Coturnix japonica: one gene and its partners. The protein of the gene in region 1 interacts with the protein of each later gene in a pairwise test. Links are inferred from orthologs where the notes say so. Each region holds a gene or a part of one and is shown in the gene's direction. Other genes may lie near its edges. The genes, in order: AMOTL2; GCC1; keratin, type I cytoskeletal 20-like; RALBP1; ZGPAT; BRMS1L; NFIL3.

Evidence for each region.
Region 2: the proteins of AMOTL2 (region 1) and GCC1 interact in a two-hybrid assay, tested with the Homo sapiens proteins (2 studies listed by BioGRID and IntAct). The two-hybrid records come from large-scale screens. The link is inferred for Coturnix japonica from reciprocal best matches to the Homo sapiens genes AMOTL2 and GCC1.
Region 3: the proteins of AMOTL2 (region 1) and keratin, type I cytoskeletal 20-like interact in binary tests that used the Homo sapiens proteins (3 or more experiments, as listed by UniProt). The two-hybrid records come from large-scale screens. The link is inferred for Coturnix japonica from reciprocal best matches to the Homo sapiens genes AMOTL2 and KRT20.
Region 4: the proteins of AMOTL2 (region 1) and RALBP1 interact in binary tests that used the Homo sapiens proteins (3 or more experiments, as listed by UniProt). The two-hybrid records come from large-scale screens. The link is inferred for Coturnix japonica from reciprocal best matches to the Homo sapiens genes AMOTL2 and RALBP1.
Region 5: the proteins of AMOTL2 (region 1) and ZGPAT interact in binary tests that used the Homo sapiens proteins (3 or more experiments, as listed by UniProt). The two-hybrid records come from large-scale screens. The link is inferred for Coturnix japonica from reciprocal best matches to the Homo sapiens genes AMOTL2 and ZGPAT.
Region 6: the proteins of AMOTL2 (region 1) and BRMS1L interact in binary tests that used the Homo sapiens proteins (3 or more experiments, as listed by UniProt). The two-hybrid records come from large-scale screens. The link is inferred for Coturnix japonica from reciprocal best matches to the Homo sapiens genes AMOTL2 and BRMS1L.
Region 7: the proteins of AMOTL2 (region 1) and NFIL3 interact in binary tests that used the Homo sapiens proteins (3 or more experiments, as listed by UniProt). The two-hybrid records come from large-scale screens. The link is inferred for Coturnix japonica from reciprocal best matches to the Homo sapiens genes AMOTL2 and NFIL3.

The regions. Positions count from the first base shown.
Region 1 is NC_029524.1:3,377,619-3,382,022, forward strand, and holds the start of AMOTL2 (angiomotin-like protein 2), read left to right. Parts: upstream 1-1,298; 5' UTR 1,299-1,430; intron 1,431-1,543; 5' UTR 1,544-1,595; coding exon 1,596-2,269; intron 2,270-3,422; coding exon 3,423-3,654; intron 3,655-4,404. UniProt on the Homo sapiens protein: Regulates the translocation of phosphorylated SRC to peripheral cell-matrix adhesion sites. Required for proper architecture of actin filaments.
Region 2 is NC_029516.1:516,770-521,298, forward strand, and holds the start of GCC1 (GRIP and coiled-coil domain-containing protein 1), read left to right. Parts: upstream 1-1,465; 5' UTR 1,466-1,658; coding exon 1,659-2,792; intron 2,793-3,988; coding exon 3,989-4,529. UniProt on the Homo sapiens protein: Probably involved in maintaining Golgi structure.
Region 3 is NC_029542.1:4,173,632-4,178,266, reverse strand, and holds the start of keratin, type I cytoskeletal 20-like, read left to right. Parts: upstream 1-1,590; 5' UTR 1,591-1,649; coding exon 1,650-2,069; intron 2,070-2,299; coding exon 2,300-2,382; intron 2,383-2,583; coding exon 2,584-2,740; intron 2,741-2,936; coding exon 2,937-3,098; intron 3,099-3,180; coding exon 3,181-3,306; intron 3,307-3,447; coding exon 3,448-3,668; intron 3,669-4,584; coding exon 4,585-4,625; intron 4,626-4,635. UniProt on the Homo sapiens protein: Plays a significant role in maintaining keratin filament organization in intestinal epithelia. When phosphorylated, plays a role in the secretion of mucin in the small intestine.
Region 4 is NC_029517.1:88,790,625-88,793,488, reverse strand, and holds part of RALBP1 (ralA-binding protein 1), read left to right. Parts: intron 1-443; coding exon 444-605; intron 606-828; coding exon 829-960; intron 961-1,553; coding exon 1,554-1,661; intron 1,662-2,373; coding exon 2,374-2,495; intron 2,496-2,864. UniProt on the Homo sapiens protein: Multifunctional protein that functions as a downstream effector of RALA and RALB. As a GTPase-activating protein/GAP can inactivate CDC42 and RAC1 by stimulating their GTPase activity.
Region 5 is NC_029535.1:9,383,645-9,388,116, forward strand, and holds the start of ZGPAT (zinc finger CCCH-type with G patch domain-containing protein), read left to right. Parts: upstream 1-1,577; 5' UTR 1,578-1,672; coding exon 1,673-2,289; intron 2,290-3,016; coding exon 3,017-3,150; intron 3,151-3,681; coding exon 3,682-3,840; intron 3,841-4,472. Other genes in the region: ARFRP1 (ADP-ribosylation factor-related protein 1), read right to left, coding at 94-186. UniProt on the Homo sapiens protein: Transcription repressor that specifically binds the 5'-GGAG[GA]A[GA]A-3' consensus sequence. Represses transcription by recruiting the chromatin multiprotein complex NuRD to target promoters.
Region 6 is NC_029520.1:32,940,725-32,945,075, forward strand, and holds the start of BRMS1L (breast cancer metastasis-suppressor 1-like protein), read left to right. Parts: upstream 1-1,359; 5' UTR 1,360-1,467; coding exon 1,468-1,603; intron 1,604-4,351. UniProt on the Homo sapiens protein: Involved in the histone deacetylase (HDAC1)-dependent transcriptional repression activity. When overexpressed in lung cancer cell line that lacks p53/TP53 expression, inhibits cell growth.
Region 7 is NC_029547.1:39,516,575-39,521,042, reverse strand, and holds the start of NFIL3 (nuclear factor interleukin-3-regulated protein), read left to right. Parts: upstream 1-1,327; 5' UTR 1,328-1,439; intron 1,440-2,432; exon of another isoform or gene 2,433-2,794; intron 2,795-4,468.

The DNA.
Region 1 (4,404 bases):
GGCTTTGTGGGCTGCTTTCACCTTTCCACGTGCTTCATCTTCTGATGGGAAGCAGTGGGTCTGTGTGGGTCTGTGGATGGGGAAGGGCTGTGTGAAGAAGCCAGCAGCTGGTCAGGCTCGTCCAGGGGGAGCATGGAAAGGTGGAAGCTTCCCATATCTGCCGTGTTAGAAAGAAAAAGAGGAGCAGAGGGCTTTTCCTCTTCAGATCACTTTCCAAAGTGCTGTTATCAGCCCAGGAGGGGTTTCCTGCTGCCAAAAATAGAGCGGTGTGGAGATAGGAAGGGAAGCGGGATGACGCAGGCATAGATAAGGCTGCTGGATGAGCCGGGGGGGCAGCTGGGACCTCCGGCATGCTGGGTGCCCCCATCCCACTAAGAGACCCCCGGTAGGGTTTGGGATCTCGCCCACACCTGCTCTGTGTCCAGGGCTCGTTTCTCAGCCCCGTTATCAGTCAGTGAGCGGCTGGGTGCTGAACGTCAGCCCGATACCTCCATGGTTGGGGGCCGGCAGGGGAGGCTGGCCGAATTTCAGGTTGTGCAGCGTGCATCTGTGCCTCTGAAGGATGCAGCGGTGTCTGGCCGAGCAGAGAGCGTTACCCACAGCCAGTCCCTTTCCTCCCCCCAGACAAAGCCCCCCAAAGGATGGCAAAAGGAAGAGCCCGTCGGCGCGCTCCGGGCTTTGTTCGGCCTTTGGAAGGTGCCAAATTCCCTCTCTCAAGAATGAGAGCTTAATGTCCCGTATCTAATTAGCAATTTTCCCTGCACCTGCTCCTCGGCCGCCCCTCGGACCATCTGCCGTCTCGGGGCCCCGCGGGCGGACGTGCCCGGCGCTGGGGGTCCCGCGGCTCCTCCGCTGCGGCCGCACGACGGGGAAGCGGCTCCGCAAAGCCGGGCAGCCCCGGGCTCCGTGCCGCGGGTCCCGACCTGCTGCACCCCACAAAGGGAAGGAGCAAAGCACGCGTGTATCCCGCACGAGAGGCGGGGGTCGGGGGGCTGCGCTGGGGAAGGGGAGCGGCGCTGGCAGAGGGCAGAGCAGATGGGGCCGCGGTTTTTTTTTGTAGGGCCGGGAGACAATGGCGCGTCTCTCGGGGCCGGGATCAGGCACGAAGATTTATGCAGGCGGGCAGCTGGCGGGCACAGCCTCGGAGCCCCCCCGGGCGGCAGCTGCTGCCCCAACCCCTCGGCAGCCCCCGGCCCAGCGCCGACACCGACCGGCCCAGCCCCGAATGGCGGTGGGGCGGGCGCTGCTCCCCCTGGCGGCGGAGCGAGGACGGGGAGGAGGAGGAGGTGGCGGCGGGGCGGGGCGGGCCCGGCCCCGCATTCCGGGCATAGCAGCGCCCGAGCCCGGCCCCCGCTACCGGCGGGGCCCGCAGTCGGCAGTGGCCTCGTTCCCCGAGCGGCAGCACGGCCTCGCCGCTCCGCCATGCCCCGGTAAGTACCGCCGCCCTCCCCCCAATCCCCCGTCCCCGAGGAGCCGCACAGCCGTGGGGAGAGCCGCGTTCCTCCGGCCCCAATCCCGCTGACGTCCCCGTGTCCCCCCGCAGGTGCCCGCGTCGCTCGTAGAGCCCCCGGACGGACGGACGGAACGCGGCGGAGATGAGGACGGCGGAGGACTCGAGCGGGACGGTGCTGCAGCGCCTGATCCAGGAGCAGCTGCGCTACGGGAACCTGACGGAGAACCGCACGCTGCTGGCCATCCAGCAACAGGCGCTGCGCGGCGGCACGGCCGGCAGCCCCCGCTCGTCGCTGGAGAGTCTGACCCAGGAGGAGAGCCAGATGGTGCCGCAGTCCGCCCGGCAGGAGCCGCAGGGCCAGGAGCACCACGCCGACCACCTGTACAACGAGCACGGCGGATACCGCCCGGCACAGCCCCAGCACAAGGGCGAGGAGCTCCCCAGCTACGAGGAGGCCAAGGCGCACTCGCAATACTACGCGGGGCAGCGGGCAGGGCAGCAGCACGGCGGCACCCGACGCCCCGACGACGCCCTGAAGGAGCTGAAGCACGGCCACGTGCGGTCGCTGAGCGAACGGCTGATGCAGATGTCGCTGGAAAGGAACGGGGCCAAAGCGCACGGCCCCATCAGCTCGTCCCACAGCTTCCCGCAGCTCTCCCGGCAATACACCCTGCGAGGGCAGCGCCCCGAGGGAACGGAGCCTCGCGGGCCTCCACCGGAGTATCCCTACATCCTCCCCAGCCAGGAGGCGGCCGTCGCTTACCTGTCCCGGCCCTGCTCCCGGGACGGGGCCGGCTTCCAGCACCCCGAAGTCAGGTAACCCACAGCCCTCGCCGCTTCTTGGGTGCTGGTTGGCCCCGGTTTGCCTCGGTTGGTTCAGGATTTCCATCCGGCAGTGAAAACTCCGCTGCTCCGGGAGGGATTCGGGGTTAATGCAGGAGTTGGAGGCAGGTCAGGAAATGGCTAAATTCGGAACAGGCGTGAGCCAGCGTGGAAGGAAAATGTGCTGCTCGGAGTGGAAAAAGCTGCCTGGCCTCCCCGGCTGAGGGTGCCCCCGGCCCCGTGCCTTCCAGCAGAGTGTATGGGAGCGCTGAGCACTGCTCCTTCCTTCCAGCCCATTGACACCTCCAGCAAAACCTGCCTCTGCTTGGAGGTCTGTGGGTGTGGAGATTTGGGCATCTCCTGGTGCTCAGGGAAGGCTGGGAAGTGTGGTGTTCTGGCATGGAATTGCTATAGGCAGGAGCTCCAAGCTGACTTACCAGGGCAGGGAGTGATAGCATTTCTGGCAGGAAACAGCTCTCCTTCCAGGGAACAAAGAGGGGAAGCAGAACTGTGAGGAAGATGCATTTGTTCTTCCTCGCTCCTGGATCACCCCATAGGAATGCAGGCTCCAGCACGGCGGCCACATGGCTCAGGATGGCTGAGGCAGCCATGGGATGTCGAGGAACTCTGGGTGATAGAATGGGGTTGTATTAACAGTGTGGTGGCAAGGCTTGGAGCCAGGAGCCCTCTCCTTGCCCAGGAAACCATGAGGAGAAGTGGTAGTGCTGCAGGTTTCCAACATACATCTTTGCTGAGGGTTTTTCTTGACTGCATCACCCAGCAGCAGGGTGGTACTGAGCCCCCCTGACCCCCCCCCCCCGGCCTAGCAGTCAAGTCCTGATGTTCTCAGGTGCTTAAATCCTGGGTGTGGAGGTGCTCAAGCTGCAGGCAGTGCTGTCAGATGGGGTTTCCTTCGTATTTTGTGTGCCCAAAGCCAACCCTTCCCAGCTGTGCAGGGCAGGTTGAGCACTCATCCTCCTGAGCATGACCCATGGGCACCCAGCACCTCTTTTGTCCAAAGGTGCTTCAGGAGCTCTGCGTATCCACACGGGTTGGTTGACAGAGGAGAACATGTGGGCAGGGTGCTTGTGGTGGCCAGTGTGTCCATCCCCATGAAGTGGCTGAGCACCCCTCTCTTTCCCCCCAGCAGGCTGATGCCAGCACCCGTCCCCGCAGCGTTCCTGCCCTCACCGAGCACGCTGGGCTCTCTCAGCCCTGCTGGTGTGGAGGCCCTGGTGAGTGCACAGGCGGCCTCAGCTGGCAGCCGGCTGGCCCAGGTGGATGCTGTGATGCGGGAGAATGAGAGGCTGCTGCTGGACAATGAGAGGCTGCGACGGGAGCTGGAGAGCTGCACGGAGAAAGCCAGCAGGATCCAGAAGGTGAGCTGGCCTTTGCTTCCTGTCAGCACGCTGAGGATGCAGGACCCCAGCCCTGCTGGTTATTTGGGATGTGGGCAATGGGTGCAGATGCTCAGCCCACCTCTGCTCCCACCCAGCACCTCACCCACCAGCATCCATCCCTTGGGGGGAAGGGAAGGGCTCATTGACCTCCTGCCGTGTCACGGGCAGCAGGTTTAGGCTGAGAGCAGGTACACCTGGAAATGGCCTCATCTGCACAGTGCGGCTTTGTCCCTTGTTTTTGAGCGAGCTCGTGCATTTGCTTCCTTGCCGCCTGGGGCAGGATCAAGCAGCTGCTGTGAAAATTCACCCCCTTTTGTGTTTTAATCTCTGCCCCCTCCCTCCGGTGGCTGCCCCCCACAGCAAGCAGCTGCGCTTTGGTGGCAGCACGGCTCCTTGGCCAAGTGTGGAAGAGAGGGGAAAAAGAGCCCATTCTGAGGCTCCAGTAGCACTCAGGCTGTCTCCACCCGCCCCAGGAGCGTGCCCGGCCACCACAGAAAGCCCTTTGTACAGCTTTGCACAAGGACAGGGCTGTTCCCTGCTGGACAGACGGACACTGGGAGGCACCGGGAGAAGCTGGGCCAGCCCCGGGGGGCCATAGTCAGCCAAATCCATGCTAAGGCAAGAGAGCTCCCTCTGTGCCCACAGGGCTGAAAGCAAAAGAAAAAGGGTTTTTGCCCCCAGACCTGTGTTGTTGTGGGGGTTTCTCACTCTGCGGCTCCTGCCCATCCT
Region 2 (4,529 bases), on another chromosome or scaffold:
CCTTATCTTCATCTACATCCCATCCTCATCCCCACCCCCATCCCAACCCCATTTCCATTGCACACTCATCCTCACGCTGATCTCCATCCCATCCTCATCCCCATCCTATATTCATTCACACCCCCATCCCACCTACATCTCCATCCCCATCCCCATCTCCACCTCATCCTCATCTTCATCCCATTCCCATCCCATCTTCATCTTCATTCTTATTATCATCCCACCTTCATTCTCATTCCCATCTCATCTTCATCCCCATCCCATCTTCATCCTCACCCACATCCTCATCCCATCCTCCCCATCATCCTTATCTTCATTCCCATCCCCATCCTCATCCCATCTTCCTCTTCATCTTCATTCTTATTCCATTCCATCTCATTCCTCATCCCCATTCCCATCTCATCTCATTCTTATTATCATCCCATCCTCATCCCCATCCCATCTTCATCTTCATCCTCACCCACATCCTCATCCCATCCTCCCCTTAATCCTTATCTTCATCCCCATCCCATCCCATCCTCATCCTCATCCCTATCCCACCTTCATTCCCATCCTCATCCCATCCCTATCCCATCTTCATCATCCTCACCCATCACATCCTCATCCCATCCTCCCCTTTTCATGCCCTTCATCCTTACCTTCCTCCCATCTCCATCCTTACCCCATCTCCATCCCCATCCTCATCCCATCTTCCTCTTCATCTTTATCTCCACCCCCATCCCATCTTCATCTTCATCCTTATTATCATCCCATCCTCATCTTCATCCCCATCCCACCTTCATCTCCATCCCATCCCATCCTCATCATCATCCCTATCCCATCCTCATCCCATCTTCATCCTCATCCCATCCTCCCCTTAATCTTTATCTTCATCTCCATCCCATCCCATCTTCATTTTCATCCTCACCCATCCCATCCTCATCCCATCCTCCCCTTCATCCTCATCTTCATCCCATCCCCATCCTTACCCCATCTTCATCCCATCTTCCTCTTCCTCTTCATTCTTATCATTCCATCTTCATCCTCATCCCCATCCCATCCTCATCCTCATCCCTACCCCATTCTCATCTTCATCCCTATCCCCATCCTCATCCCATCCTCATCCCATCTTCATCCTCACCCCCATCCTCATCCCATCCTCCCCTCCATCCCATCCCCATCCCATCCCCCCCCTCACCCCATCCTCATCCTCATTCATACAACGATGCCCCGCCCCCTCATTAAGCCCCGCCCCCAGACTACAAGGCCACGCCCCCAATCCTATTAGCCCCGCCCCCTCTGCTCCGTTCTGACACCTGATTGGTGGCCGCTCCTCGCCCCAAACCCTTCACTTTGCGCATGCGCAGCGTGGGGTGCGTCACCTCCAGTGGGCGGGGCTTAACGTGCAGGGCGGAAGTGGGTGGGAGGGCGGAAGTTAAACAAGGCGGAAGTAGGTGGGAGGGCGGAAGTAGTAGGGGCGGAAGTTAAACGAGGCGGAAGTAGGTGGGAGGGCGGAAGTTAAGCAGGCCGGAAGTAGGTGTGCGGCGGCGCTCTGGCTGCCGGTACCGACTCGTTGGTTGGGCCTGGAGGCCGCGGCCTGCTGTGGCCCGGCCCGGTCCGGAGGTAAGGCCTGAGCCCTGCGACCTACCCGCCCCCAGGCCCACCCCCATCCCGGAACCATGGAGAAATTCGGTATGAACTTCGGAGGAGGCCCGAGTAAAAAAGAACTGCTGGAAACCATCGAGTCGCAGAAGAAGCAGCTCCTGAATTACCAGGCCAGGCTGAAGGACGTGGTCATCGCCTACAAGAGCCTCATCAACGAGAAGGAGGCCTTGGAGGCCAGCCTGAAGGTGTTATCGGCGTCCCACGAGGCCGACATTGGGTTAAATGGGGCTCAGGCTCCATTTGTGGCCCCCTCCAGCTCTTCCTTTGCCTCCAGCTCTTCCCTTCCCTCCAACTCTTCTTTCCCCTCCAGCTCTTCCCTCCCCTCCGGCTCTTCCCCTCCTTCCAGCTCTCCCCATGTTGATCCCATGGATGATAAGAGCTCAGTTCACAGCGAGGACAGCATGGGAACGGCCGCCAGCGTGGACACAACAACCAGTTTGGGCAGCACGAAGGGCGAGCAGGGACCTGAGGATGAGAAACACGCAGCAGCTGTTAAATCAGATGAGGGGAATGGTTCCGAGGTCGGTACTGGTACCAGTAACAGCAATGGGGACGTGCCCTGTGCTGCCATTGAGGCCGATAAGCGGGTGCTGCAGCTGAAGAGCCAATTGGCCACATTGACCAGCGCCCTGTCCACGGTGACGCAGGAGAAGTCCCGCATGGAAGCGTCATATCAAGCCGACAAGAAGAAGATGAAGCAGGACCTGGATGACGCCATTAAAAAGGCGGAGGATGAGACTGACAGGTTGGAGACGGAGCTGAGGGTTGTACAGGAGCAGCTGGCAGAGACCAAAGCTCGACTGATCACGCAGCAGCACGACCGAGCCCAGGAGCAGAGCGACCACGCTGTTATGCTGAGGGAGCTGCAGAAGCTGCTGCAGAGCGAGAGGGCGTTGAGGCAGGACGCTGAGCTGAAGCTGGAGGAGACCAGGGAGGCATTGGCCGGCCGGGTGTGCATGGCTGATCGTGCTGAGGGCTACGAGCTGCAGATCAAGCAGCTGAGCCAGGAGGTGGAGGAGCTGAAGAGAGAACTGCAGGCTGTTCAGGAGGAGAGGAAGAAGCCGGACCCCCGGGTGCAAGACCTGCAGGAGGAGATGGCCAACCTGAAGAGCCACTTCCAAGCGCAGCTGCTGCAGGAGATGAGGAAGGTAATTCCCTGCTTGAGCCCTAGAGCAGCCCAATGTAGGGGGTACCAGAGCAGCAGATGGAGGCTTGAGGAGCCCAAATTCTCCCTGTGCCACATGCCACAAAGTCCGAAAGATTTCAGATAGGAGAAAATACCATAGTTTCATCTGATGGGATCATATACCCTGAGGAAAATTAAAGCTGTTGGCAATGCAGTGTATAAATCAGTTAACCACGGGTGGTTTAGGAGCAGTCTTTGTGGGAGTTACGTGGTGAGCATCGCTTGGTTCCGAGCAGCAGCTGGATTTGGGAGGAGAGCAGTGGCAATGAGCGTGCTCTCATCATAAATGCAATGCAAGGTTCGGTTCGGACTCTCTTAAAGGGAACTGACCTCCACATCCCCCTGCATGGAACTGTAATAGGTGAGCGGTGAGGCAGGTGGGCGATAAGGGCGGCCTGCTGAGCGAGGTGCTGGGCTGTGCATCTTGCTGTGTGTCTCTGCAGGCTGTGGGGCAGAGGGATGGAGGGCTTTGCTGCTGAGTTGGCAGCTGGAAGGACACCAGCATGGGATCCTCATTTCCCCACAGTCTGGAATAAGTTTTCAGCTTTCTAATCTGAAGCCTCTAATTATCAGCTTCGGGCTGATGGGATGCGATTAACCTTGTTTTGGAAGTGATACCCAGCAGCTTCTGTACGACAGGGCTGAGGATGGGCTGATCCCAGCTGTGTTTTGGCTCACAGTGGGGACTGAGGAGTGGTGCCACCTTCCACGTGCTCTTTAGGAGGTCAGATCTCGATGGTGATAGAAGCTGTGAGCTCCAGTGTTTGCTGTAGCTACTCAGAGCCCACTGAATTACGTTAATATTGGTGTAACAAAGCTTAGCATTTAGGTACAGTTAGGTGTAGGAAAGCTTTAGGGCACACTCAGACATGAAAAAATCCCACAGTGAGGTGAGCTTTGTGCTTCATGCCCTGCACATGCCTCCAGCAATGCACATTAATGCTGCTAACAGCAGGGAACAAATACAGAAACGCACTCGGTTTGTTTCATCCTTGAGTCTCTGTTTTAAAGATGGGCGTGTGAGAGTGTGGGGTGGGGGAGGATTGTTTGGAAACTAGGGAAAGGGTGTCCCTGTGCTTGCTTGGAGTTGTTCAGAGCAGAATGAAGGCCTGTGTAATTGCAGGGTGGTCTAACACCGCTGCATTTCTTTGCTTACAGACTGCACAAGCAGAGGAGCAGCTCCGGCAGCACGCCCAGATGGAGGAGCAGCGCGTGGCCGACCTGGAGGGGCAGGTCTCTGAGGTGTCAGGGCTGCTGGGCACCTACGAGAAGGCCAAACAGAAGGACCAAATGGTCATCCAGAAACTGAAGGATCGCATCGTGCAGCTGGACCAGGAGAACAAAACCTTGGCCATCGCAGCCTCCAGCCGATCCCCTGCTGATGTGAACGTGGAAGAAGCCAATCTGGATGTGAACGTTCTCAAGGATAAGATGGAGAAGCTGAAGAAGCTGCTGCAGGTGGCAGCAAAGAAGAGTCAGCCCACGCTGGACATCGAGAAGCTGTGTGAGCTGGAGCTGCCAAAAGGTACCGAGGCCGGGGATGGTGAGAAGGCCACGGCTCTGTACTATCAGCAGGAGCTGAAGCAGCTGAAGGAAGAGTTTGAAAGGTACAAGATGAGGGCACAAGTGGTTCTCAAGAACAAGTCAGCCAAAGATGGCAACCTGGCCAAAGAACTGGAGGAAGCTCAGGAGCAACTGG
Region 3 (4,635 bases), on another chromosome or scaffold:
GCAGGACTTTTGCTGCGTTCTTCTCGTGGTTTTAAAGATGTGAGCTCTGCCCTACAGCTGGAAATGATCCCTATTGAGTGCAGATAGAACAGACCCACCCTGTGTCTATAGCAACGGGACATTTGACCTGGCTGCTGGACTTTGACCGGACCTGCCATAAATGCACATTTATGCTTCTGAGTCACACCCAAAGCTCGAGGTCCAACCACAGTTCAGACACCTGAATGTACACTTTGCATCCTCATGGCAAGGAGCCCTGCTCTGAATGCTGCTCGTTTTGCTTTGGAAGATGCACATTTCCAGAGCAGCTGAACTCTGCCTTGTTACAGCTGCACTCAGCAAACTATTGGTAGTTCTGTATCCAATCTGAGCTGAACTGGTCCCACCGAATCCCACACTCAGCTCTCAGAAACCTGAGGATGCTGCCAAGATCCAGCATAGTGCCCAGAGAACAGCACGTCACCCATTGCCTTGTCCCAGGTTAAAAGACCAGTATGTACAGCAGCTCTTTTCCACTAATATAAACAATACATGTTAATTGTTCAACCTGAATAGCCGTACATTATTAATACACTGAAGTACACTAAATGCAGTGCCCCAAGGAACTCCACCTGCTTTGTCCTGCTGCACACCTGCTGCCTGCTTTCATGCAGCACCAGGAACTCCCCCAGCTCTGAGCTCTTTCACTCGATTTCCATTGTATCTCTGCCTGTCACATCTCAGCAGTACATACATTGCAGCTGGAGGAACTACAAAACACAGCTGCTGGGTTTCTTTGTGTGCTGATCAGAGGCAGCTGATTTCCTGTCAAAGGCAGAGCAGCCAGAGGGCACAACGTGCTGAGCACGCTGCCAGGGCAGGAGGGCTTGGAGCTGTGCTGGAAGCTTGGTCTCAGCACTATGGACCAGCATCTCACATGTAAAATAAAGGGAGCCATCCAGGTGGTTCTCATATCCTTACAGCTTTGCCTACTACATTTTCTGCCTTATCTCAACCACACTGCAGCCCAGTTCAACTTCTAAGGGCTTTCTATCACTGAACAGTGTACATTCAATGCAAGCAAACTACACCAGTCATTTTGACAACACTAAGATTACTGTTCTGTGCTTACTGTAGAATGAATGAAGGCGGTAGATACAAATGCCACCTTCCTGACCATTTCAAGACCTTCCTACACCATCCTCAGGCCCAGACGATGGCTCACACAACAGCAATGTACACTGGATTGAGATATAAATATTTAAGGTCTCTTGTCACATACGGTCAACTCATTTTAATTTCATAACCCGCACAGGGTTTGTTCGACAATGGCTCTATAGAGATAGGCTGGCTAGGCTGCAATAAATGATTCAGCAGCTCGTTTGTGTTTTATCTTTCATTCAAAATAAAAATGAATAAAGCTAAATTTCCTGAGCAGTTTTTTTTCAAACGCAGATGGAGAGATTAAAAACCCTTTGCATTACAGAGTGTGGGGACAATGTCCTGCATGTTATTTGTGCTGACACCAATTACAGTATGCGTCAAGAGAGGTGGGGTTTACAACCACCGTGCTTCCTCTTCCAAAGACAATATAAGGTTTACAGAGCACACAGCACTTCACTCCAACTCGCTGTCGTACAGTCAGCCGCTTCACCTTTGCAGGAGGCACGATGTCCTTCTCCACACAGAGCTTCCAGCTGGGTACAGCCGCCCGTTTGCAGGGCACAGCTCCTGGTAGCAGCGCTCTGTCCGTCAGGAGCGCGGCCGTGCAGCGGATCCAGGCGCCCAGTGTCTATGGTGGGGCTGGCGGCTACGGCACCCGCATCTCCAGCAGCACCGTCCGCAGACAGAGCTCCAGCGGTGCCTTCTCCAACATCTCTGATAACGACCTGCTGCTCGCTGGCAATGAGAAATCAACCATGCAGAACCTTAATGACCGCTTGGCTGCCTATCTGGAGAGGGTGCGCTCTCTGGAGAAATCAAACTCCCTGCTTGAAAAGCAGATCAAGGAGTGGCACGAGAAGAATACAGTGGGCATAAGGAGTGACTACAGCTCATACTTCCAAACAATCGAGGAACTCCAAAACAAGGTAAGATCTCCTACAGCCATCTATAAAAGCATAAACTGCAGCTTTGGGGAAGGTAACAATCTACTGTGGAAAAGTAGATCAAATAGGATCTGTCTCACCTGGGAACAGGAAATGCTTCATTCTGGCCAGACACAAATTAGTGACAGACTTTCTAATGTTTAAGACTCACTCAGTGTCCTTTGCGAGCTGCATTACCTCTGCTTCATCCCTTTCCAACCTTTCCTTTTTAGATCAGTGCTGCACAGTTGGAAAATGCAAGGCTTGTCCTGCAGATTGACAACGCCAAGCTGGCTGCTGATGATTTCAGACTGAAGTAAGTTCCACGCACTGCCTGCACTCCTTCATGCTTCAGTTATTCAGGATAACATCTAGTTATTAGTATCAAAGCTGAGAAGTAAACCACAGAGCTCAGTAAAAACAAATACTTTAGGCCTCGGGCTGTAGAAGTTATTGATTTGATGTTTCTGTCAAACTGCTGCACTTCTATGGTGGCGAAAGAAGCCTTGTTTTACAGGTATGAAAATGAGCTCTTGCTCAGGCAAAGTGTTGAGAGTGACATCAATGGGCTCATGCGAGTCCTTGACGACCTGACCTTAACCAAGTCAGATCTGGAGGCACAGATTGAAAGCGTGAATGAAGAAATCATTTTCCTTAAGAAGAACCATGAAGAGGTGAGAGCAGCAGAACAGTGTCATCATTTCTTTTTTGTCAGAGGCATTTACAAATTAAATTTAAGAGTTAAATTAAGAGCTAAATTTAAATTTAAGAATTAAGAGTTGCTCTGTTTCTGTATTTCTGAGCTTCTGCCCAATATTTGGGCCTGGAAGTTCACTTTAGCTGATGCTAACGCAGTGCTCAATGTTGTAGGAGGTTGAAAGGCTGCGCAAACAAGTGGGTGGCTCGGTTAACGTAGAGGTGGATGCTGCTCCAGGTGTTGATCTTGCAAGTATTATGGAAAACATGAGACGGCAGTATGAAGAAATGGCAGAAAAGAACCGCCAAGAAGCCAAAGAACGATTTGAAAAGCAAGTAAGGTCAATTGCTTCAACACCAGCGAGAGCCTCTGTCATGTCTGGTCACAGCTCACAGTCCTTCCATTTCCATATTTCAGACAGAAGCACTGAACCAGGAAGTAGCAATCAATGTAGAGCAGCTGCAAGAACAAAGGAGAGAGGTCACAGATCGGAGACAGATCTCCCAGAGCCTGGAGCTGGAATTACAGACCCATCTGAACATGGTGAGTGATGAACAGTTCTTGAAATAAGGGCTGTGTTTATAGAGATAACAACAAAAACTGGGACATATTTCAAAATGTAATTTTAAGGCCAAGATGTATCCTCTTGAACAATAAATCTCTGTTCTTTTTCACCAACTGTAGAAGAAGACTCTGGAAGATTCTCTGGCTGAAACTGAAGCACGTTACAGTTTTCAGTTGGCTCAAATCCAGGAAACAATTGCCAGGTTAGAGGCTCAGCTCAGGCAGCTGCGGGCTGACATGGAGGGGCAGAACACGGAGTACAGCATCCTGCTGGACATCAAGACTCGCCTGGAGATGGAGATCGCCACGTACCGACGTCTGCTGGAAGGGGAGGACATCAGGTGAGGAAAGGGGCTCCGGCAGCTTTGCACCACTGACAGCAGTGCAAATGAGCTCTAAATTCTCAGACAGAAACGGTGGTAAAATCTGCCTATTGGCAACTGGTTTTTGAAGGAAAAAAGTCTGCCTGCTGCCCGGCTCTCAGCTGTAGGCTCCAAGTCTGTGCTCCTTCAGAGGCTGCTGCAGTGTTCAGACCAGTCTATGCCACCCTCTGCACGGGTACACACTGTTACTCTTCTTGAATTGAGTATCTTGACAGCCGCCCACACTCCATGAACAAAAGTGATGCAGTTTTAGATAAACTTTTCCATAACTGTAATGACAGAAACTCAGGGCACATCATTTTAAACTGCTTTTGGTAGCATGAGCACCTGACCACATCAGAGCAAGGCACTCAGTGAGCGCACACTGACCTCCTGCAGTCTATGGCAAGTCTGGGAGCCCGTGCAGGATTCCATCCTGCTGCACTTCTGCCACCAGTAGCTGAGCCACTTATATACGTAGGAGGTGCAAATGAGCTGACATTTACTGTCTGGAAAGTCCAGCATCCCTTGCTCTGCAGTGCACAGAGGTCTGTGAAAGAGTGCAGAGCAGCACAAGCAGACAGCGCTGCTTCCCTCAAAGGTCCTATGGTTCAAAGGTCAGTTCTGGCTCAGGAACCAGGCCGGGCAAATCCTCCTGAGCTGAAGTTGTAACACTGCAGAAATTAGCCTGCAGGTGAATTTCACCTATAGCTGACGCTTAACAAAATTCACTTTAGTACTGAAAACTCATCTAAACACGTGACAAGGGCTGAACTAAAGTCTTGATGAAAGGAAATATACCTGTTTATATTAAAGGTGCAGAAAACATGCCAGGTTGTTTCTTCACTATGTCAGGCATAATATACTTACATTTTTCTGTTTAAAATCCGAACAGGGTTGTCCAAGAGGATATACTTACAAATGAACTTGAAAAAGGTATGTTGCA
Region 4 (2,864 bases), on another chromosome or scaffold:
ACAGTGGCCTTCCAGTACCTGAAGGGGACCTACAGGAAAGTTGTGGAGGGGACATTTTATAAGGGCAGGTAGTAACAGGATGAGGGGAAATGGCTTTAAACTGGAAGAGAGTAGATTCAGACTAGATATTAGGAAGAAATTCTTTGCTGTGAGGATAGTGAGACACTGGAACAGGCTGTCCCATGAGGTTGTGGATGCCCCTCCTTGGAAGCATTGAAGGCCAGGCTGGATGTGGCCTTGAGCCACCTGGTTTAGAGGGAGGTGTCCCTGCCCATAGCAGGGGGTTGTAACAACATGATCTTAAAGATCCGTTCCAACCCAAACCATTCAATGTATTTGTGAGTGATGGAAGGTCGTTGCACTTCTGGAGAAAGATACTGTGCTTCACAGGTGCAGATTATGTGAAGAAATCATCTGAACTACTCCCATGCCCTTTCTTTCAGATCAGCAACCGTGTCCTGTATGTACTTTTTACACACGTTCAAGAGTTCTTTGGGAATGTGACCCTGAAACAGGTAACAAAACCTCTTCGTTGGTCAAATATGGCGACTATGCCAGCACTTCCAGAGACACAGGAAAGCATCAAAGAAGAAATCAGGCGACAGGTTGGTGAATACTTCAGTTGTTTTGTTTGGTTTTGTCCTGGATTTGATAAATTCAGCAGTAAACGTTCCTAAGAGTGTAATTATACCACAGTTGTCCTGTTGTGGGACACCACGTGCTTTGAAAAGCAGAACTCCAGACCTTTTGTCATGAAGAAGCCAATGCCATATTTTTTCCTTTGCTCTGATATACTAAGGACACTAATTGCCTTGGTAATGTTTCTAGGAGTTCCTACTGAACTGTTTACACCGAGACTTGCAGGCGGGGATAAAAGATTTATCCAAAGAAGAGAGACTCTGGGAGGTGCAAAGAATTTTAACAGCTCTTAAGAGGAAGCTAAGAGAAGCCAAGCGACAAGTGAGTAGCTTACTATTTATTGCCCAAATGTAGATCACGGATGAAAATGACCGAGGAGCATTTCCTAACTTCAGCAAATCTTGCCCAAGTTTCATGGCTATCAGTTATTTGCTGCTCGTCCCCATTTCTTGGGGTGCATCATTCAGCCTTAACTGCCTAACCCAGCAGTTGAAAGCACCACAAGTGTCAGATGATTCTATAAGTGTGGACTGGGGGCTTCTAATGCTCATAGATTGTGACAGGTATGGAATTTTGGTGCTCTGGGGGTTGTAAGTTGGATTTAGAAAGCGTGGTTGCCACCGAAGCCTTTCATTCTGCTTTCCTTCATGCATGCAGATTCTAAAGAGAAACATTAAGTTACCTTCTAGAATTAAATTTGCAGATTTCCAGTATTAGTTGCAGTACTCTTGAGTTGAGAAAGTCTTTTTAGTGCAATATTTTATTTTCCATCTCAGTTCTTAAACAGCTGAGGAGCGGCACCTTCATCCTCCAGCTGTTTGTAAAACAGTGCGTGACTAAAACAGTGTTTGACAGAGCTCCTGTCCACTCTGTGCTTAACACCGTGTGTTCTGACCCAACTCTTTCTCTGGCAGGAGTGTGAAACAAAGATTGCACAAGAAATTGCCAGCCTTTCCAAGGAGGATGTCTCCAAAGAAGAAATGAATGAGAATGAAGAAGTTATAAATATTCTGCTTGCACAGGTAGATGGCAAGCGCATATCGGTTTGTATGCTGTAGTTTCATGTTCCACATCTGTCAGAGTTACTGAGCGTGTATTTATTCCTTCTAATACAATGGAAAACAGAAGGGGCGTCAATGGGCCTTACTCTCTCTGTTAAAATCCGAAGCTTTGTTTGAGCACTAAATAAGGCAGGGAAAGCACACGGACTGCAGGAGTGTGCCTGAAGGTGAACAGGCTGCTGTTCAGGCACAGTTGTGTGCAGCAACAAGTGGGCCTTGTTGTTCACATACTTAGAAGGCACTTCTGCATCTGACCAGAGTTAGGACTGTTAACTCTTTTCCTGCTGATCAAAGGAAATAAGGCAGCTCTTTTGGTATTCATGCCTGCCTTGGCTTGCCTCAATAGCTTTGATCTTCCCTCCGCTGCACTTTTCTCTCACTATTAATCTTCAAAGGCCTGTTTTTGAGCGTAGTTTCTCTGGGTTATCCCAGAGCTTTCACCCGAGATTTACAGCATCACCTTGAGGATTCAGAACAGACATTGTTGGGTTTGAACCTAGAGTTGGGCTGAAGTCTTGCTGACTTGGTGCCGAGCAAGCACACTAAGTACTTCTGAAAACAGCTCAGGGAACAGCATCACTGCTTCCCAGGGCTCAGCATTAGGGCAGTCCTCAGCGCGTGTTCCCATAGAACATAAAGCCAAGGCTGTAAGTGAACTAATTGCTTGTTGCAGGAGAACGAGATTTTAACGGAGCAAGAAGAACTGCTGGCCATGGAGCAGTTTCTGCGGAGACAAATAGCCTCAGAGAAGGAAGAAATCGATCGCCTTCGTGCAGAGATAGCTGAAATACAAAGGTAAAAGGGAGACTGCTTGCCTCAGCTCCCTGGCCAGGCATGTGCTCAGGGGAGAAGCAGCAGAACTAAACCACACTTAAAAGATCACTCTGAGCACATCGGCACATTAGCAAGCTGGTACCTTTTATTGAAATCTTAGCATCTTTTCAACTTTTGGGATATTCTCTGTTAGTACAGCAATGAAGTTGTGATCTAATGGGAACTGGACCTTCGCTCCATAAAAAAAACATCCCCATAGGGAATAATGGATTTATTAAAGTAAACTAAACCCTGATTTTGTTTTCAAAGCCACTTTAGATTATTTAGTGAACGTGAGCAATTTTTATGTGCTCCAGTCCTGGTAAACTTGAGCAAGTGTTTTTGATCTCA
Region 5 (4,472 bases), on another chromosome or scaffold:
TTACAGACAAAGACTGACCCATCTGGTGGAAGTTTTGTCTCTGAAGATGGGGATGTTTAGAACTGCATGCAATTGGTAACACTCAGCACTTACTGTTTTACCAGCATTGTCCAAACCGAGGATCAAGATGCAGTACTCATCCCTCTGGAACATATACTTATAGAGCCCAGACAGCAGAGTATACATCCTGCTCCTGCAACAGATGCCAGGAAATCATTAACAAACAGATTATCTCCAGAATTCTTCCACTCCATGATCTAAACTTCTCCCAACATCAGATTAATAAGTGACATTACTCGTTTATCAGTAACTCTTAAGCCAACCCTAGGACAAATCACAGACACAAAAGGAAGAGTGCAAACAGCTCAAGATCCAATGTTCAAAACATGATCTTCCAAGTAGCTTAACCTGTGTTTCAGCACACAATGCACAGCATCCATTATGAACTCACTTCTCAACTCAAAGTTTGTTCTCTCTTGGACTTAAGAGCAAGCTAAAGTCTGCTTGAAAGTAACTTAGAGAACATATAAGACTCGTAGAAAAGAAGCCAGTGGTGTGCAGATATAGAGGAGTGTTCTGAGCAGGAATGTGCAGGTTGGTGCCCCCTCACTTTGTTTATGACAGTATTATGGGATCTTCAACAGCTGAACCGAGCTCACAGCCAGATCACAGGATCACAGAATGAGCCGGGTTGGAAGGGACCTCAAGGATCATGTAGTTCCAACCCCCCTGCCTGGCAGGGCCACCAAACATACACCTTTACTAGATCAGGTTGCCCAGGAGACCCCATAGATCCCCATAGAGACCAGAGAGACCCCATAGATCCCCATAGAGACCCCATAGATCCCCATAGAGACCCCATAGAGACCCCATAGATCAGGTTGCCCATGGCCCCGTCCAACCTGGCCTTGAACACCTCCAAGGACGGGGCATCCACAACCTCCCTGGGCGGCCTGTTCCAGGGCCTGACCACTCTCCTAGTGAAGAACTTCCCCCTAACATCCAACCTAAATCTTCCCTCTTTTAACTTCAAACCACGTACCCAGGCGGTGTGTGTAGGAACCCTCACCTATCCCAAACCCTCCTCTCTCCAACAGCAGTGCTGCTGCAGCACCCGCTATACAAGCAGTTGGTCACAACACAACGCCCCTTAGACCCCCCCTGCCCCACAGCCCGCAGCCCTCCCCGCCGTCCCCACCCCTCAGAGCCCGGCTGAGCTCTCAGATCCCTCCACAGTCCCTCCGTACCCCGCAGGCCCCGGCCCGGCCGCACAGCGCACACCGCAGCCCCTCACCCGGTACCGGGAGCTCCTCCCGTCACCCAGCGCCGCCTCGCTCCCCCACCACACCAGCCGCCGGCGCCGTCCCTCGCGAGGCACTCTGGGAAGTGTAGTTCTCACACCGCCTCTATGGCGGGGAGGTGGGGTTATTTTAAACTACAACTCCCAGAATGCTCAGCGGCGCCGGATGCGTGGGGCGGGCCCGACTGCGCAAGCGCACTACGGAGAGATTGGTCGCTGAAGTGGCGTTGCGCGACAGCTGGAAAAGCCGGAAGTGGCTGCTCAGAAGGGCGGAAGTGGGGGGGGCGTAATGGCGGCCGTGCTGTGGGGGTGCGGGAGCTGAGCGGGGAGGTTCGGATTGAGGCCTAAACCGGGGCCTGGCTTCTATTCGCAATGGATGAGGAGAGCCTGGAAGCCGCCATCCAGGCCTACAACGCCCAGCTGCAGCAGGTTGAGCTGGCTCTGGGGGCGGGCCAGGACCCCTCGCAGCGATCGGATCTGATTCAGTTACAAGAAGATTTAAAGCAGCTGATAGAACTGACCGAGTCCAGCCTGGTGGCTGTGAAGAAGAGCAAGTTGTTGGCTGCGTTGGATACAAGCGCCTCCTGTGTAAATCAGCGTGAAAATCCCGATAGCTGTGCCCAGGATGAGGAATATGCTGCCTTCAAGGAAGCCATTGCTGAGCTGGGGACTGATGGTGAGCCCTCAGCTGATAACAGCGAGAGATCTGCGACGGGAGACGAAGAAAGCAAGGAGAGTGAATTGAAATGCAGCGAGGAAGAGTCTGATAGAGAGGAGGAGGAGGAGGAATTGAGTGGGATGAAGGTTAAAGCGCCGTATTACAGCTCGTGGGGGACGCTGGAGTATCATAATGCCATGATTGTGGGGACGGAGTACTTGGAAGATGGCAGTGCAGGTGTCAGAGTGCTGTATCTCTACCCCACTCACAAGTCCTTGAAGCCGTGCCCGTTCTTCTTGGATGACAAATGCAGATTTAAAGAGAACTGTCGGTAAAGAAAAATATGGAGGGGGAGGGGGCTCGTATCCTCGCTGCTGATAAAGGCCGTGTGATTCAAAGGCTGGAACATCTGAGTGTTCCACGCTGGCTGTTGTAACCAATGGGATTTTGCAGTGTTATTAAAATCCATTATGTATGGTAACAGGTGGTATCAAAGAGCTGGACAGTTCAGGTAATGCAGATATGAAGTGGAAATCCCTGTGGGCAAGTTGCAGAGATTTTACCTGATCATTCCAATAGCTACTTTAGTCACAGGCTTATGAGTTAAAACAAAAACACCCAGGGCTGTCTGTTGATGGTACCTTTGTTCCAGCTGCGGGGTCTCCATCTTTGGAGAGCTTCAAATCTAACCCAGATGAGGCCTTAAGCAGCCTGATCAGGCTTTGAAGTTGGCTTTGCTTTGAGCAGGAGGCTGAGATCTCTGTGTCTGTGTGCAGTCCTCATTATCTCAAAAGATCTGTGATTTTTCAGAGATCTCCCTATCAGGGAAAGCTTCATTCTTGGGAGTGGGATTATTTCTTCTATTACACAGCATAAATTATATGAATATGGTGAAAAACGAATGACTTCTTTAATTGAAATGATGCATGATAAACCTTCTGATGCAGATTCATCACTGCTGACAATTTGTTTGAGTTTCCTGTCAGGAAGGAAGGGGTTTATATTTCAAGCCCTTTCTAGTGAGGTAGATCTGACTCCTTTTCTGTCTTCCCTGGCAGGTTTTCACATGGCCAGGTGGTCTCTGTGGAGGAGCTTCAGCCTTTTCAGGAGCCCAATCTGAGTACCCTGGAGGTGGGCTCAGCCTGCCTGGCCAAACACAGTGATGGGATATGGTATGCTGCCAAAATAACTGGTGAGTGGTGTTTGTGGGTGTTGTGCCAGAGCTGTGTAGAGATTGAGCACCCATGCTGAAGGAATTACAAAGTATGACCGTTTTGGTTAATGATAGCAAACACTTGAGGATGTAGCTGTGGCCTTGAACTAAAAATCTGGAGGTAGTTGAGAACGTGTTCTGAGTTGTGTCAGGCTTGGGAAGGGAATAGGATAGGAAATATACATGCATATACAATTGCATATTAGAGTAGAACTGCAGTAATCTGGGAGCTGTTGATAGAGGCTCCCCTCTGTTCTGAGAAGTTTTTTTCTTTGGCACTTGTTGGGTCAGAGGGAGTAAGTCAAACTTCTTTTTAGTTCCATTTGTTGACAGCCCATATTCCTCTATTTTTATAAGTAAATCTCTTAAGCCTTCAGCTGTTTTAACACGTGTTCTTCAGGCCTTCCTCCTCTCCCGCATCATTCCCTGAAGCCAACTTTGAGGAAGCTCTCTGCAGTGTTTGTATTGAGAGTTTACTTGAACTCTTGTTTCTTGCTTTTCCTTCTGTAGATATTGACAGTGGTTACTACACGGTGAAGTTTGATTCCCTGCTGCTAAAGGAAGCTGTTGTAGAAGGAGATAGTATAATTCCCCCACTACGAAGCGAAGATGGTGCCTCATCTGCTGAATCTGATGAAGACAGTGTTGATGATTCTGGTTATGCTAAAGGTGAGAGGGTGGTGGGGGTGTGAGAGAAGTGCCTTGTGATCTGTGTCTGCCTTCTGTCACCAGTATGAGTCTGGTGAAGCTCAAATGTTTCTGTAGCAGCAGGTAGAGGGCGCAATGTTTTATAATGGAGTTCCAGTTCTTAGTCTGTTTTTCAAGTGGGTGTGTGAGCTGAGCAAGTAAAACAGGAGACTTCTAATCTCTCCGGAGCCTACACAGAGCTGTATAACACAACAGGAGTAAGAGATCCCAGGCACAGGTATTCAAACCTCCCAGTGTCTTGATGAGTAACAGCTGTGCCTGGCTTTTTACTATGAAGAGGTGACACCAACAGAACCAGGTTCTCTGAGCATACACAGATAGCACTCTGTCTGTGCCCCTGTTTTGTCACAGGGACAAAGCTGTGTCCTATTGCTCAGTAAATTCAGCCTAATGGAGATTATTGAGTGCTAATAACACATCATTAGCATAGTAGCCTAGAGAATCCTCATGCTACTGACATGCACTGGAGGCACTAATTAAGCACATTATGTGCCACAGTGCCAAACTTTGCTGGGATGTCATATGTCAATCTGACCATTCCAGAAGAAAGGAAAGAAAAGAAACATAGAAACTTCTAGGCGATTCTGCTTGGA
Region 6 (4,351 bases), on another chromosome or scaffold:
TTATCTCAATAAAATGGCTCATCTACATCTACAGGCTGATCCTTCGGTAGCTGGATTCCTAAAAGGCATCTTCACACAGCAAGAACACATCTCCAAAAGTTGTCTCACAAGCCAGATAGAATCTTCTTTCCCTTTCCACCTAGCACACATCTGGGCTCTAGACAGATGACTGAGTTTGGTGTTGCCACTTCTCATGCTGAAGGTGTATGGGTGATCAGGTTGATCAATTTTATAATCCTGGAAACAAATTATCTGTGCACTGTGCCAAAATGTAGCTCCTGGAATTAGCCTGACCTCTTCTCTTGTCCAGCATTCCACCTGGACACAGAGACTGAATTCAGTTGGCACATTTTTCCCCCCCCCTTAGGACAGTAAACGTTTGTATTGCTTTAGCAGGGTAACTCCCTCTTGGCTTCAAAGTATAAAGAACACAATAGAAGAAACACGCAAAAATCACGTAACTAAAAATTTAACATTAAAAAAAAAATAATCTGTCTCAATTTTGTATTTCAGTTGTTCATTTCCACTGTGGCAAGGGAACCTTGTTTTGCTCCTGGAATGTACTTTTAGCCCCTTAGTTCCAACTGCTTGCATAGGAAGTTGCCATCACGAGGCCAAAAGTTTCCTGATTTCCTGCCATTCCATTCCCTGCTACTGTTGGCTTTTCTAGGCCATAGCACTTGATTTCCTGTTTTATCTTGCTAGACTGAGATGTAAACCTTAAGACTTTTATTATTATTACTTCTGGATTCTTTTTACTAAATCCATATGGATTCACTATAAAGCATTTCAGACCCAGTTGGCAAAATTCACCCCTTTTTCCACGGGGACACGTCCAACTCTTAGCAGACTTCCTTACTTCCTTTCAGCCACCCAAATCCCTGACATCCCTACATTGCACGCTGGGCAAAGGAACAGCACCTTCCAGCACTCTGGGAACTGCTTCTACGTTTTTATATTGCATTAATCCGCTCGTGGTCAGCTTCTGGGATACCGAAAGCTGTTAATAAACAAGAAAAACCCCATACACCGACGAACGGTAGCCATCAAGGAGGCAAGTTCTATATTCACACCCGGGCTCAGCTCGTGTTACACACGGTTCCCCTTTAGGCCCAGTCCCCGCTGGCCGGGCCCACCTGCAGCAGCCGCAGGGCGCTGCCCGCCATCACGGCGCCCTTCAGAGCAGCACGGAGCGGCGCCGCCATGACACCCCTCACAGCACCTACTGTACTCACAGCTCACAACTCCCAGCGTGCGCCGCGCTTCGGCTCGCCGGGCCAATGGGGAGGCTCAGTCAATGACGGGGCTCAGCCAGTGAGACGGCTCGGCCGATGACAGAGCTCGGCCAATGGGAGGGCGCGGCGGGCGCGGCGGGCGCCGGGCGGGGTTGGTGGCACCGCGGGGGCTGGTAGTGGCGGCGGCGGGAACGGCCGTTCTGGGGCCGGCCCGGTGTCGGCGTTGGGCAGCATGCCGGTCCACTCCCGGGAGAAGAAGGAGAACAACCACGATGAGATGGAGGTGGACTACGGGGAGAACGAGGGGAGCACCTCGGAGGAGGAGGAGACCGAGAGCTCGTCCGTGTCCGAGGAGGGGGACAGCTCAGGTACCGGGGTCACCGTCTGTGCCGTTCTCTCTGTTCCTCCCGGGGGGAACCGGCCCCAGCTCCGCCGGTACCGCCGGTACCGCCCCCGCCGCGACCCCGCCCCGCCGCTCTCCTGCTGCTCTCCCGCTGCTGCGGCCCAGCCGGGGGCGGGGACGTGGCGGGGGCACGGTGGCACCAACTCGGCCCCAACGCAGGTCCTGGTGCCGAGCGGGCCGGGCCGCGTGGTGCCGCCGTGTCTGTGCGGGGCCTCGCTTGGGCTTCAGTCTGCGACCGGAGCCAATGTCCGCCTGGTTCTTCGCAGGCGAAACTGAACGTTTCTGTTGGGTGTTTTGGGGCCTGTCTGGGTGGGAGGGGACCTGTCAGTGCCATTGGCCTCTTCTGCGCAGCATTAAACCCTGCTCTGCTAAAGGCTTCTTTCCGTGCCTTACTTGCTCAGGACTGTGGTCTGAGGGTGATTTAACGTGTGAAAGGTGGCTCTAACAGCTGTTCACCTGTTAAAAGGAAGTTTTCTGTTGGAGGTTACCTTATAATTCCAAGGGCTAAATTAGAAACTTGTCATTTAATGGCAACCACGGAAATGCTTTGGAGAGTGTGCTGCAATCTGGGATCGCTGGGGCTCCATATGTCCTGGCCCACACAGGACCTTTGCCACTGGATCCACTGGGGAGCTATAGGAGAAAAGGCATTATACTCTTTAATCAGGTTTTGTTCTAATAGGACAAGGGGAAATATTTTCAAACTATGAGAGAGGATTTGGTTTGAATAGGAGGGGGGAAAAATTACAGTAAGGCTAGTGAGGTACTGGAACGGGTTGCCCAGGGATGTGGTAGATGTCCCTGGAGACAGTCAGAGTCAGACTGGACCAGGCTCTGAGCACCCTGATCTTGCTGTAGGTGTCCCTGTTCATTGCAGGGAAGTTGGACCAAACGGACCATTAAAGGTCCCTTCCAACTCAAACAGTTCTGTGATTCTTTGAAAAGCTGGAGTGGTGCTCAGTGCTGGCTGTAGTCCTGAGGCAAGCTCCTGGTAGCTGGAATTTGCAAGTATTGATGATTGAACCCTACTTTGCAACTCTAGGCAGCTGGTCAATGATTGTCTGCTTGGATTAAACTGTCACCATCCTTCCCCTCATTCTTACCCACCCTTCTTGGTGCATTGTACTTTCTTGTCCTTGTTTATTGCTCTGTCTTCAGTGACACTGGGCCTTTGTATGCTAAGCTGTCAGAAAAATAGCCCTTTAAAAAGTGAAATAGCAAAAATGTCTCAGTGAAGAATTTGATTTGTGAATGAGAGGTACTGGGGGCTTAATGTATACTAATGCTTGGGTAGACTGCAGCTCCTTAGCAACAGAAGTCATGAATAGCAATTTTGTTAGAATATGTAAAGATCTCCAATTTACATCAGTTAACTTTGCACGTATTCTTGTGAGTTTAAGATTAATGACTTGCACAGGTTTAGACAGGAGGCTTCCTGAAGCAGAGATTCTGAAGTTCTTGGCTGTTTCCTCATCTGAGGGAACATCATGCTTCTCTCATCTAATGCAGTATTACTCAGGAGATATTTTCAGTCCATAAACTGTGGAGCACATCCAGGTATGGGCTTGCAAGAACTAGCAAAATTATTACAAACATTGTTTCTATTTGTGTCTCTAATAACAACTGATTTGGTGAAGAGATTCCTAGTTTGGAATAGATAGTGCTGAGGCCCCTATATCTCTAAAGCAATTGTAGTTTTGTTTCAGATAATATAGCCTGAACTGTATGTGTATGGTTGAGAGCTGCCTGAAGATCAAGTCATTGTTTCAAACTCTTATGCTCTCTGTTGATATTTGAATACATTTGGTAAGTGCTTGGAATGAAGCTTTGAATTTAACTTAATAGTTAAATTTGGTTTCTGTTCACTGAAACTGCTGCAAACTGAACCAGTGTGCTCAAAGCTGTTCTGTGGTGAAACATGTATGTGCACACAACTTTATAAATAGTTGGGCTGTTACAGATGAAGAGTTCATTGATCCAGGTACAGATCTGCTGCTGAGAAAGACCGATGAATCTTTCCTTACCCCCATTCTCTTGAAGCTGTTCAGCTGAAAAAAAAAAAAAAAAAAAAAAAAAAGGACCAGAAAGATGTGCTTAACATGACTTGGATAGGTTTGATGAAACAGGCTGGGCAGCATCAGTGTGCACTGGTGGTTATGTTGGAAGAAAGGTACATTTGAGTGAGGATATCCAGACAAGGAGCTGCAGATATCATATTTTAAGTTGAAAAAACATGTCTAATTATGTCCCTGATTGCACAGCAACCTGTTCTGTTCCTTTTTGATGTGATTTAGGAAGGCATGTTTCAATTCTTTTATTATCAGAATTGAATGTGACCTTGAAATGTGAATATTCTGTTTAGGAAAGTAAGTTAATGGAGATGGCTCTTCCCTACTGAACGTGGCTGTTTTTTCAAAATAAGGGAACAGACACAGTTTGTTAAATCTTTCAGAGAGTAAACGAAGTAGAGGAGGAATGGACGAGCTCATTGAGCAATATGGAGGTGAGACGCAGGGTTGCAAAGGGCTCCATGATGAGGTCCAGGAGCAGAACTGCAACAATAACCCTTATGTAGCCAAGCGGGTCTTCCCGCTTGTCTTGAAATAGATTATGCAGTTTATGTAGGTTACTGTTACATAGACTGCCTTTCCTTTGCCATTTTCTAGCCAAATGGTATGTCTTTTAAAAATAAATAAATAAATCATTTTTTCTC
Region 7 (4,468 bases), on another chromosome or scaffold:
TTCCATTACATGTTGTTGCCGTGTGACAGGTGGCAGCAGAGGGTCAGTCTGACAAAACAGCAATTAACATAGAAGTGCAGATGAAGTAAAGGTATGTCACTGAATTCATCTGTGCAGAAAAGAAATGGCACCCACTGACATTCACTGATGTTTTCTGTGCATTTATAGAAACCAAACAGTGGACATGAGCACACTGAGGCGGTGGATGGTGCTCCAGCAGTAGTGGCAGTGACAGTGGGTCATGTCCACTCACTGGTGCAGACTTTAACAAGCATGGCATGCATCTCCTGTTTGCTACTGGTAACAATGTACAGCAAATGGTGGTGACTGTGTTGAAAAATAGTGTCCGGTAGCTGAGAATTTGCTCTATCAAACAATGTTCTTGTTCTCTTTTTATCTATTGCTGTTTCCTTGGAAATAAATGAGGTATTACTTTCAGGACAACCTCATAATAATACAAAAGATATAGGATGAGAAATAACGTAGAATCATAGAATCATGAAATGGCTTGGGCTGGGAAGACCTTAAAGAGCATCCAGTTCTATCCCCATGCACATGCTGCTCAGATTTCTTCATACAGATGGTCTGGTGTCCTTAAGACTGTTAAGAGTCCACCGACGTCTATAAGAACAAAGTTCACGGCTAAAGCACATTTCTGAGCTTTTCAATAGCACACCGACTGCCTTTGTATGGACGTGTGTCTACCTATGAGGGGACATAAGGCAAAGAAATGAAGTGCAGGTGGATGTGATTGCTGGTCCTCCAGCCTTTTCTGCAGCAGCGTGCTCTGCAGGGCTACCACAGCCAGGGCTCTATGCTCCAGCTACCAGCAGACAATGAGGGAAGGCGAGAATCAGTATGAGCAGAGGTTATTAGACTCGCAATAATGGGGAGATGAATACCGATAGATACAGACGAACCTGAGGCGCTTGGATTTACTGCACAGCAGAACATGGGGTGAGGATGAGAAAAGATCAGGGGCGGGGCCGCGGGTCGAGCGCCCCCCTCAGCGCCGCGCGCCCGGTTACGTAAGCGCCGGCCCCGCCGCGCCACCCCCACCGCCGCCGGCCGTTATGCAATCGCCAGCACACACACTCGCTGCACCACGCCCCCCCTTGGCCCCGCCCCCTCCCGCCCCCATTGGCCGTCCCCCGGCGGCGCCAGTCGCCGATTGGGGCGCGGCGGCCGCCAGTCACGGTGCGGCGCGGCTGGCATGCGGGCTGAGCGCCCCGCGCCGCGCAGCTCTGACCTACTAACACACATCCCTCCGCGCCGCCGCAGCCGCCGCACGCTCTCGCTCGCCTCGCGTACGGACAAGCGGGGCGACGCCGCCCGGGGCACGGCACGGCACGGCACGGGGCACGGCACGGCACGGCACAGCGCAGCGCTCTCGCCTCGCTTCACCTCGTGGATGGTTGTGGCCCCGCCGAGCACTCCAGGTAGGAAGGCGCGTTGCGGTGCGCGGGGCGAGGCGCTGCGTTGCGGTGCGACTGGCGGCGCCATCCCGCCACCGCCGTTACATAACGCGCCGACGGAGCGCCGCGTTGCGTTGCGCCCCGGGGTCCGCCGTTGTGCCGCCCGTAGCGCGGGGCCGGCCCTGCTGTGCACGGAGCGGGCGCTGGGCGCTGGGCGGGGTGCGGGCGCGGTACGGAGCTGCGGGCGGCTCAGCGCTGTCAGCGCTGTGGCAGCGTTCCCGGGACGGACCGCATCGTAGTTCCTGGAAGTGTGGCATTATGTAACGCGGGGCCGCTGGCTGCGGGCCGGGATCGGCGGGGGGATCCGCCTCGTTACGGAGAGACAGGGGCTACCGCGCCGTGCTCGTCGCAGGGTCCGCCCCGTTACGTTTTAGGCTCCGCAGTGTGGCAGCGGACCTCGTTACACTTCGGTGTCCCGGCTGCGAGCCTCGAGCCCGCGGAGCGGCTCGGCTCAGGCGGTTGGTGGTGGAGGCGCTCGGCCGGGCGCCGACCCGGCTCTCGGCCACCGTTCCTCGAAGATGGGCCCGTCTCCGTGCGTGGTGCCGTGCCGCTGTGCGAAGCTGTCACCGCGCCGAGCGGCAGCGGGACGGCGCCCCACGCCCGGCGGCGCAGCACGGCCCGGCCCCGCCCCGCCCCACGGTGCACAAGTAGGTCAGTATGACAGACTCGGCCGACAAGGGCAGCGCTGCCGCCGGGGGCGCCGCCGCCCCGGTCCCGCTCCCCGAGCCGTCGCCGCGGCTCGTACCCGCGAGGCCGTTGGCCGGGGCCTGGCGGAGGGCTGGCAGCCCACGGCCGCGAGGGTGAGGGCTGGCGGCGCTGCCGCTTCCCCCTGCTTCGCAGCCCTTTGTTCTGGGCCGAAGCAGGCTAAAGGGAGGGGGGGGGAAAGGGGGGTGGCGTCGTGGGGCCGCGCGGAGGGAGCGAGCCGGACCAGGCCGCCTTTGTGGCCGCCGCGTCTCGCAGCGTGGCCCCACAACCGCCGGGGCTGGACGTGTCCAGGTCGCAGCTGCAGACAAAGGGCCCGTGCTCAGCAAGCGCATAGTGGCTGCGGGCGAGACGCAGCCCCACCGCCATCCCCGTGTTTTCGGCGTTCTCCTTACGTAACGAGCGAGTCAAAAATGGCTATTGCCCAATGGTGCTGTTTTGCCAAGTCACTTATGTACTCGGTGGCACAGCCCTGCTCTGGGGTCAGGCCGTGCTTCGAGCTTCCTGGGAGCAACACTCCGAGCGCTGCCTTGAGCGTTCGGCAGTTTTTGTTTGCCCATAACGATCCTCCAGCCAGGGAGAGCCAGAATCATTCTTTGTGGTCAGAACCTCTAAAGGTAATGTTAGCACCGGGAACGCTTGCCATGTGTTCATGGGAATTGCTGTAGGTAGCAACTTTGAAGTATTCAAAAGTGTTCAAAAATGCAATAGTAACAATAATGTGCAGACTTTTTTGCTGCTTGGTTGTGGGGGTCAGGTTCAGCTGTGATGGCAAACCCTTTGGGTTCTGTTAAGAGCAGCAAGCAGCCTGATTTTTCCTTGTTCTTGTAAGTTGAATGGTTGTTCTTGGCTGCATTGTGCTCACTGCTGTGTACGTAACCTACTTTGAGTCATCTCTGCCCCTGGTAATTAATTCAATCCAGGGGGCAGTTTAAAATAGTGCTGTGTGTGTTACTTTTACAGTCCTTGTCCGATCAAAATGTTGATTTTGATAAGAAATGTGAATGAATAAGGATTCAGGTTGTGACCTACAGACCCAGTTTTAGCGAACAAGCCTGAGGATTACTGAATAGAAAGATCCTCAATATCACTGGCACTAACAGATACTACTTTAAACACTCTCACATTATTGGCATTTTTATGTGACTGTTGAAGTGCTAACCCTCTTTACAGTGATGTACCTTTTTTAATTTACTTTCTATTTTATACTATCCACTTTTCTACTTTCTATTCTACTCATTCTGTAGGGGACTCTTATTTATTTATCCAGTTTGAGGATTTGACTTCAGAGCTTCATGTTTCTGCTGGTGTTTTTCTTTTTTTTCTTTTTTTTCTTTTTTCTTTTTTTCTTTTTTTTTTTTTTTCATAAAAAGAATATGTCTGGAAGGTGTCAAAAACCTTAGAATCTTCCCATGAGCAATATGAACTTACTTGACCTCTCCACATCTAATCCTCTCCTAAGGAGGAACAGTGTTGTTTATGCTTGGGCTGAAGTTTGTTGGATGTACAGACATTGTCTGTTGCAATGCAAGTAGTGCACAATCCTCAAAAAATACCAGTGCCATGCTGGTTATTTTCAATCCTTTATCATGAAATGAAAATCAGAAAATAAACCTTTAGCTCATTTTAAATTGACTTATTTTAGCAGATGGTTATGCAAACTATGTTTATGCAATAGGTTTTTTTCCAGACAGCAATCTTCCTGTTATAACATCACTATGATGCAATAACGTGAACAATAAAATTCTCTGTTTGTGTCTTATTACACACTGTTAAGCAATGTATCTGACTCATCAGCTTAATTGACTCTTGTAGGTGACCTTGCCATGATCATTACAGCCAGTTATGAGATACAAATGTGCTTAGGACATGTAATAGAAAAAATATGCAAATAGATGGCCAATTGCTACAGATTGTTCTAAGACAAAATGTCAGATGATTTCTGTTACAGTATTTTACAGCACATGGTGGAAAAAAAAAAAGATATTTTTAAATTAGGGTGTGTAACTGTCTAATACCAATAACAAGCATGACTGTCAAAAATAGGATTGCATAACCAAGGACATACTTGGGCTTGGTTCAAAATGTGATGGAAGCAGTGTTCTTAAAAACCTTTTGTATTGAGAGGTAGATCTGAAGTGAATTATGATAACCCTCCTTAGAAATCCTGTTGTTTTCTCCTTATTTGAATATAGACTTGAATTTCATATTTTGAGGCTGAATCTGCTTACAGATAACACACAAACCGGTCCTATAGAGAAGCTGTTACAAGAGCTTTTTCTATTTTTTGA